Linked DNA regions of Cricetulus griseus. Each later gene encodes a partner of the first gene's protein in a complex. Links are inferred from orthologs where the notes say so. Each region holds a gene or a part of one and is shown in the gene's direction. Other genes may lie near its edges.

Region 1 (4,381 bases):
GAATTTTTATAAACACCAGTTCATGAAAACTGAAGGGAACTAAGACTACTGTAAAACCCCAAAGTCACCAGCCGTATCACTGAGTCTAGGAGACAGAGGACTTGGCATTAGGCAAGATTAACAAATCAGCAACTGTGTGACAGCAGGCAGGTTTTCAGGTCTGTGCTGTTGCACGCATTCTAATTTTGAGTAAGTACCTAATAAAACTCGATAATACAGCAGAGACAGACAGTACAGGTAGAAAGGGTGGAAATCTGTAACCAATCCAAGCTTATACAATGGATGGCGATTTCGGGCCTATGCACAGCTCAATTAGCGTTCTAACAGCAACACGCCGGGGATTAAGAGACAGAACCCAAGGCCGGGAGTGCTGCATCGTCTCCACCTAGCAGTCTACCCGCGGGCAAGTCGCAGGACCCGTATAACGTGGGGAGCTAAGAACACACATACTGCTGGGGCTGAGAGACGGCTCAGCAGGTTAAGAGCACACTGGCTGCTCTTCCAGAGGTTCTGAGTTCAGTTCCCAGCAACCACATGGTGGCTCACGACTATCCGTAATGAGATCTGGTGCCCTCTTCTGGCCTGCTGGAATATATGCTGCAGACAGAGCACCGCATGCATGATTAAATACAAAAAATACTGCGTGCTGACGAGCAGGCACTGTGCTTCCTCAACGGCCCTGTCAAGTAGGCAGCACTTATTACTGCTATGTTTGCAGACAAGGCAAAACTGCAGGCCCAGTGACTTCAAAGAAAAAGCTAGTCCACGACAGCGCCGGAAGTCCAGCAGCCTGGAGTCTCGGGGTCGGGATGAGTGAGCAACCGTCAGGGGCGTGCAGGACGGCGCAGGCGCAGACCGCGCCCCATCCGCGCGCGGCCGCGACCACGCCCGCTGCCGGTCGCGCACCCGCGCCCCACCCACGGGCGCCCGCGACCACGCCCGCTGCCGGCCGCTCACCCGTGCCCCACCCACGCACGACCACAGCCAGCCAGCGGAGGAACCCGCCGCCGCCGCCTTGCCGACCGAACCTCACCTCCTCTCTCCATCGCGAAACTTCCGGGGATACCGGAAGTGGAACGTACCATCTTCCAGAAGCCGGGGTGGGAATAAAAGGGAAAAACGTCTTAGGGAAATTAACTCCCTGCTGCGACTCCGTATTCAGAAACTCTCGGAAATCAAAACCTCGAGTAAGTGGCTGGATCGAGGCCAGTGTTAGCATTTGGGTTCTAAAAGTCAACTTCCGAGTTTTGGAATCTCCCCCCCAACTTCCTGGGTGATAGAACTTTCCAAGAGCGGCGGAGCGTACTCGGCGGCGTTAAAAGAGTCACAGTTGGAAAGAAAGAAATCTCGGGCGGCCCGTGCTGCGCACGCGCGTGAGACTTTGCGTTCTCTCGCGAGAGGAAGGCGCCTTCTCTAGTCCCGAGCGGTCCGTGCCGGTTGTCGGAAAGCGTCTCTTGCAGCTCGCCCAGCATGGCGTCCGTGGGGACCCTCGCCTTCGATGAGTATGGGCGCCCCTTTCTCATCATCAAGGATCAAGACCGCAAGTCCCGTCTCATGGGACTCGAGGCCCTCAAGGTAACGGCCTGGCACGCGAGGCCGCGGGATGAAGGGAGGCGGCCCGAGCGCTCTTGTGCGCCTGCGCCGGCGTGGGAGCGGCTCGGCCACGTGCAGGCCCGCAAGGTCGAGTGGGCTCCGCGTGCACCCCGCCCTTTGTGCGGGCGCGAGAGAAGTGGTGAAGGCCTCAGCCCGGAGGTGGTGGGGACACAGCCTGCCGCCCTGGTGGGGCTCACCCACCCGCTCACCCGGGGAGCGGGCCACCGGCCCCCCAATCGGGAGGGAGGGATGACAAATGACAGCGGAGGGAGCTCTTTGGACTTCGATGGAAGGAGCTGTGCACACACGCATGCACGCACACACACACACATACACACACGTTTGCAAGGGCCAGAGCATTGCGTTCACAGGGACATTGCATCCTCTTGGGCCAGGAAACAACGTGGTTTTTGGAATACAGGGAGACAGTTTGAGGGCGCACGCACTCCTGGTTGCAGATTAGGATGCTTCCCCAAGTTTGGAGCTCTTTGGACCCCATCACAGGGAAACAAAGAAGTTATCCCAAGGGAAGGCAGAACCGAGGGAAAATCCTGTAGAAGGAAAGGGATTTAAAAAAATTTTTTTAAAAGGCTAGAACCCCAGATAAGAATGTCAGCCTGGCAGTGAAGGCGCACACCTTTAGTCCCAGCACTCGAGAGGCAGAGGCAGGAGGATCTCTGTGAGCTACACAGGGAAACCCTGTCTTTGGGGCGGGGGGGGGCGGTCGTTGACAGGTGTTGCCACGGAAAACGCAGAGGAAGGAAGGAGTTGCATCTTGGGTTTTGTGTGTGCCTGTCATGCCTCCAGGTCTGAGGTGCTCTTGTTCACCTGTGTTAGGGTCTTATTTAAACTTAAAGATAACACACCCACTTACTGACCTCTCTGGACCTAGTTTCCAAACGTGGACTTCCTGTCATGCCAACGGTTTGACAGGTGTGTTGGAGTGACTGAAGAAGTGGACAGGGCAACTGTAGAAGCTTGGTTTTGTTTCCTTTCTAGGGGAACTTTTTTTCAGGTCATATGCATTGCTTATTCAGTTCCATTCCCCCACCCCCAAACACACAAACACACACACACACACACACACACACACACACCCTACCTACCTACCTCAGGGTACTTGCAAATTAACATTCCAACAGGCAGAGATTTTACCAGTGTGATTAATGTTAACAGTTGTGCTGTGTCTGCCATTTGTGCTAACTACATGGGCTATTGCATGTGGTCCTCACTCAAGATAGGTCTTCTAGAATTAGGCACTTACGGCAGGGTCATAGAGAAGTTGACAAAGATTTCATAGCCACTAAGGTAGAGAAGGGCCATGACTTCAATCTGCCTCCAGTCACATCGAGGGTAGTGGTCTAGAGCATTGAGCTCACCCTTGCCATTCAGGGCCGGGTTATTTGTAGAAGAGACCTGTTCTGTGTACAGCGTTGAGCTGTTGGCCTCTGCTCAATACATACCTGTTTAGGCAACCAAAAATAAGCTCAGGTGTCCGGTATCCTTGGGCACAGAGACATTTCCTTGTGGTGCTTTTCAAAGAATTGCTAGTGTGCAAAGAAAAAAATGAACTTGGTGTTGTGTAGTCAGCCACTACAGGTGACGAGAGACATTAATGAACATGCGTACTTGCACAGTTCTGAAAATCCAAGATTTCTGTGGTAAGTTTACATCCCTCTGCACCTTGGGGCTGAGAAGATAAGTTAGAGCGACAGGGAGAGTCTGGAGTGCTTTGCTTTTGAGCTCCAGTATTAAGGCACCACGAGTCCTTTTAAACCTTTGGAATTGTTAAGGGACTCTAGAAAATGAGTTAATTAGCAACTAGGAAGTGGATGGGACGTGGTTTTAGAACTCTGTAGGGTGATTTTTGATCTGAGTTTAGTGGTGACAAGAATAAGAGAACAGGACATTGAAGGAAATGAGAGCCAGGTGTGTCTGGGAACAGGGGAGGGTTCTTTCAGGCTTGTACCGTTAATACTTTGATAACAGTAATGTAAATTCTGATCTGAGGAGATTGTTGACATTAACTCCTGAGTTAGAAGAATTTCAATGAAAACTAATGGACCAGACCAGATGTTGCAGTGAAGTTGTGGTTGCATTCCTGGAGTGTAGGGGTCAAAAGCTCGGGCCTGCAGGGATGATAGTATGGGTGTTGTTAAAATTGCATGATCTGGGTCTGACCCTTGGAATGTGTTTAGGGACATGTAGTTGGCCCTTGATCTCCTAGAACTTCTGACAAACTTAGGGGGCCAAGAAGACAAAAGTACCATATGCTTCCCATGGGTGATGGTCACATAAACACTGCTCCTGTGAGGTTAGATATGACCCAGGGTATAGATGTATATAAAACAGGCATACAGATCAAACCTTTACTAAGACTAAATCATAAAGAACATTACTTTTAAGCAAGTTTGTTGTACCTGTAACTCCACTATGTAGTAAAGATAAAAGCAGCTTTTCGAGATAATGAGATGTCTGTGTGTCGGTTTGGGTTATTATTTTAGATTTATTTTGTGTGTATGTATGAGTACCTTCATGTATGTATGTGTACACTAGTGCCTGTGGAGGCCAGAAGAGGGCATCGGATCACTGGAGTACAGGCCATTGGGAGCTGCCACGTGGGTCTTCTGCAAGAGCAAGTGACCCTGACCACTGAGCCATCTCTGTCACTCTCCCAATGAGCTGCACTTCCAATCCTTGCTCTAGTGTCTCTCACAGCTAAGTGTGGTCTCTCTTTGTTAACGAGGGTTTGGGGGGAAGATGAATTCTAGAGCAGTTCAGAACATCA
Region 2 (3,811 bases), about 260 Mb from region 1:
CTACAAAGTGAGTTCCAGGACAGCCAGGGCTACACAGAGAAACCTTGTCTTGAAAAACAAAAAGCAAAAAAAGAAAGCATACTAATATATGTGGTGGACCATGGAGCCCAGCTTCAGTGCCAGGCAGTGTGTTGAAAAGTAAAGCCTGTGTAATCTTCTGTGGCGTTTTCTCATAGAGGGTTAAGAATATTTGACACCTGTGAATCTCCTACGCTGCAGGCTCACGGGATGGTTCTATGGGACTCTGGGAGGTGACAGATGATGTATTGACCAAAAGTGATGCAAGGCATAATGTGTCACCAGTCCCCGTGTACGCTCATATCACTCACAAGGCCTTAAAGGATATCCCCAAGGAAGATACAAACCCAGACAACTGCAAGGTGCGGGCGTTAGCCTTCAACAACAAAAACAAGGTATGGCTTTATTTCGGGGGATCCTCTCTCCTCCAAGGCACTGCCAGCTGTGTGATGTGGCTTTAAACTCACAGGGCACCCTCTTTAGAGGCCGTGAATGCTGGTGAGAAATTATAATGGGCTGTGAAGCTCGGGCTTAGGCTCTGCTGTGTTTGTTTGGATAGACCATGTTTGTGGCTGGTTCAGTTTCCCTGAGAGCACTCTAATCTGACAGTGCCTCACTTGCTTGTGCCTTTTTAGGTGCTCTGCTTTGGATTTGATTTTCACGCCTCTAAAAGCCAATCACTTGTTTGTAAGCCCCTCATTTTTTCACCGCTTCCTTTGTCTCACACTTGCCACTAGTGTCGCTTAAATCACTGTGCCAGGTCTTCTGACAGTGAGGTTGTAACAGGACCTAAGACTAGACCCAGAGCCCAGAAAGGAGACAGGCTTCTGCAAAATCTGAAAAAGGTCCCAATTTGATTCATTTTTAAAAATATTTATGTGTTGTGAGTGTTTTGTCTGCATATGTGCATGGGTGTGTATACCACATGCACAAGGCCCTGATTTGAAAGGTGGTTCCACTAGAAGAAATTCAGAACAAGGCAACCCAATCACAAAAAGACAAACATGATATGTACTCACTCATATGTGGATTTTAGACATAAAGGATTACCAGCCTACCATCCACACTGCCAGAGAAGCTAGTAAACAAGGAGGACCCTAAAAGAGGCAAACATTGTCCCCTGGAGAAGGGGAAAGGGTCAAGATCCCCTGAGCAAATTGAGAGCACTGGAAGAGGGGGGAGGGAGCTAGGAGAATGAGAAGGGGAGAAGAGGAAGGATGCAGAGGTCATGAGGGAGCAGAAAGGTTGAGTCAGGTGAAGAATAGAAGAAAGGGTATGGGATAGGCAGGGTTTTAGTTGGGGGGTGGTAGGGGAGGAAGGGAGAGAGAAGGGAACTGATATTGTCATGTAAATCAATCTTATTTCTAATTCAAATAAAAAAAGATTTAAAAGAAAGAAAGAAAGAAAGAAAGAAAGAAAGAAAGAAAGAAAGAAAGAAAGAAAGAAAGGTGGTTCCTCTCTGCACCCACAGCTCCCACATTGGGAATGAGAAAAACAGCCTTTCACTTTGAACTCTGCTCTGACAGCTTTAAGGATGTCGGGGTAATCAGTGACATAGAAAGGACATTTTCCCCCACAGATGTGTGTTCATGTGATTGTTAGAGGCTACACTTGCTTTGTGGAATTGAATATACTACCTGCTGCAGTCTGTGGGGTGAGGTGAAAGCATCCTTGATAACTGTGGGTTTTTTGTTTTTATTTTTTTGAAGCAGGGTTTCTCTGTGTAACAACTTTGACTGTCCTGGAACTAGCTCTGTAGACCACACTGGCCCTGAACTCAAAGATCTTCCTGCCTCTGCCTCCCAAGTGCTGGGATTAAAGGCGTGCGTCACCACTGCCTGGCTTCCCCTGTGTGTTCTGGTGCTTTAGTTTGCTGCACATCATATTATAACTTCTTTTTCATTGCTCTTGTAGGAGTTGGGAGCCGTATCACTGGATGGCTACTTTCATCTCTGGAAGGCTGAAAATACATTGTCTAAGGTGTGAACATGACTTCGTAGTTGTATATGATAATTTACCATAGGTTTATAATACTATCATTCTCCCAGAGTCCTGTTGGATTTGTTCAAAACATCATTTCTCCCAAGGTCTGGAAATAGAATTGCATAGTACATGAAGCTGTGGGTCTGGCATGTTTCTCTTGAGGAAAAATCTGGCTATCTTTTAAATTTATTTTTGAGACATGATCTGTCTATGTAGCCCGGTCTAGTCTTAAAATTGTGATCTTCCCACTTGTAAAATACCTCTCAAAGACTGGAAATACTGAATGCTACCAACATGCTTAAGCAAGAAAAGGCCTTTGTTTATTATGTCTCAAGACAGGGTTTCTCTATGTAGCCCTCTCTGGCTATCCTGGAACTCACTCTGTAGACCAGGCTGGCCTGGAACTCAGAGATCTGCCTGCTTCTGCCTCCCAAGTACTGGAATTAAAGGCTTGTGACATCACAACCCAGCATCTAAATATGTTTGTTTGTTTTGTTTTTCTTTCTTAAAAGGTTAGCTCACTAGGTAGCCCTGGCTTGTCTAGGACTTGGGATCTTCTCTCAGCCTCAGTGATAGAGTCACAGGAAAGTCTTTTAAAAAGAGCTGAGATTGCAATAACACAATTTAGGAGAAAACAGATTTATCAATAATATCTGCTAGCAGCTTTTTTATACAATAAAGTGTATATGTGGGTCATGAGTTCATGTCTTGTCTGCGCTACTTATAATATCTGTGACAAGCGTTTTCTAAAGAGAAAGCAAAGCTCTGGGAGTGGATAGTTCCATTGGGTCATAGCAGGTTTGCACTCCACTGGCCCTACATAGCGTCTTACATACAGCAGGCGGACACTGTTTGCTACTTCACAGGGTCAAAGATGCAGGCTGACTCAGATTAACTAGGATAGAGTCAGTCCTGGGGGGTACACTGTCTCTAGTGTACAGTTCTCTTTTCTTTGGGAAATTGGCTGAGGGTGGTTAGAAATTAGTCCCTTTATCTGAAGAGAACAAGGAGTAGTGGTCATGTCGCAGAATGAACAAGGTGAGACTTAGGCTTTAGTGCCCTGGGCTTGTTCCTGGAGATAACTATAGTTCTTGCCTTTCCTGGCATTCTAATTATTTAATTCCAGCCTTCTGTTTTTCCTAATCCAGAACTTACTTCATTTACTTTGTCTTGTCACTAGCTTAGGTAGGTAATTCATGTGCAAAGGAAGCCCACAGAGGTAGGAGCACAAGAATGCCCATTTTATGCTGGTTATGAATGTATCTCTTTGCAGCTCTTTTCCACCAAATTGCCATATTGTCGAGAGAATGTATGTCTGGCTTATGGTAGTGAATGGTCAGTGTATGCAGTGGGCTCTCAAGCGCATGTCTCATTCTTGGATCCACGGCAGCCATCGTCCAACGTCAAGTCTGTCTGCTCCAGGGAGAGAGGCAGTGGTAAGTCCCTGTGTGTTCCTTCAGGCTTACTGCTACATTGCAAATGGGTTTTCACCTTTTGTTTCTTCTTTGACTTCCAAATAAGAACAGTATGTAGCATGTAGAAGTATTTGGTGACAGACGAGAGAAACTTAATTACATACATGAGGCAACAGAATGTCCAGGCTGTAGAAACCTCTGGTAGAACCACTGTGAGGAGATAAGCAGTTAGTTAGCACTACTCCCCTGGGATCTTTTTGTTGGGTCCCTGCCTGAGCTAAAATTCTTATATACTGAACAGCACTAGGGGAGGAATTAGAAGAGTATGAGGTCACTTTTGGATGTGATGATAAATATGTAGTGTAAGGGACAGCTACACCTCAAGAAGATGAAGA

What was found.
Region 2: the proteins of Cct5 (region 1) and Dcaf12 are in contact, whole or in part, in a cryo-EM structure (PDB 8AJM), measured with the Homo sapiens proteins. The link is inferred for Cricetulus griseus from reciprocal best matches to the Homo sapiens genes CCT5 and DCAF12. Residues at the interface, in NP_036205.1 of Homo sapiens: Gly537, Glu538, Ser539, Glu540, Glu541; in NP_056212.1 of Homo sapiens: Lys91, Phe93, Lys108, His144, Trp186, Phe188, Arg203, Lys254, Arg256, Glu298, Val300, Arg344, Phe411, Tyr422, Leu440, Pro441, Ser442, Gly443.

Annotation. Positions count from the first base shown.
Region 1 is NC_048595.1:361,724,916-361,729,296, reverse strand, and holds the start of Cct5 (T-complex protein 1 subunit epsilon), read left to right. Parts: upstream 1-1,470; coding exon 1,471-1,575; intron 1,576-4,381. Other genes in the region: Atpsckmt (ATP synthase subunit C lysine N-methyltransferase), read right to left, coding at 1,034-1,085. UniProt on the Homo sapiens protein: Component of the chaperonin-containing T-complex (TRiC), a molecular chaperone complex that assists the folding of actin, tubulin and other proteins upon ATP hydrolysis.
Region 2 is NC_048595.1:101,286,637-101,290,447, forward strand, and holds part of Dcaf12 (DDB1- and CUL4-associated factor 12), read left to right. Parts: intron 1-219; coding exon 220-413; intron 414-1,932; coding exon 1,933-1,998; intron 1,999-3,274; coding exon 3,275-3,437; intron 3,438-3,811. UniProt on the Homo sapiens protein: Substrate-recognition component of a DCX (DDB1-CUL4-X-box) E3 ubiquitin-protein ligase complex of the DesCEND (destruction via C-end degrons) pathway, which recognizes a C-degron located at the extreme C terminus of target proteins, leading to their ubiquitination and degradation.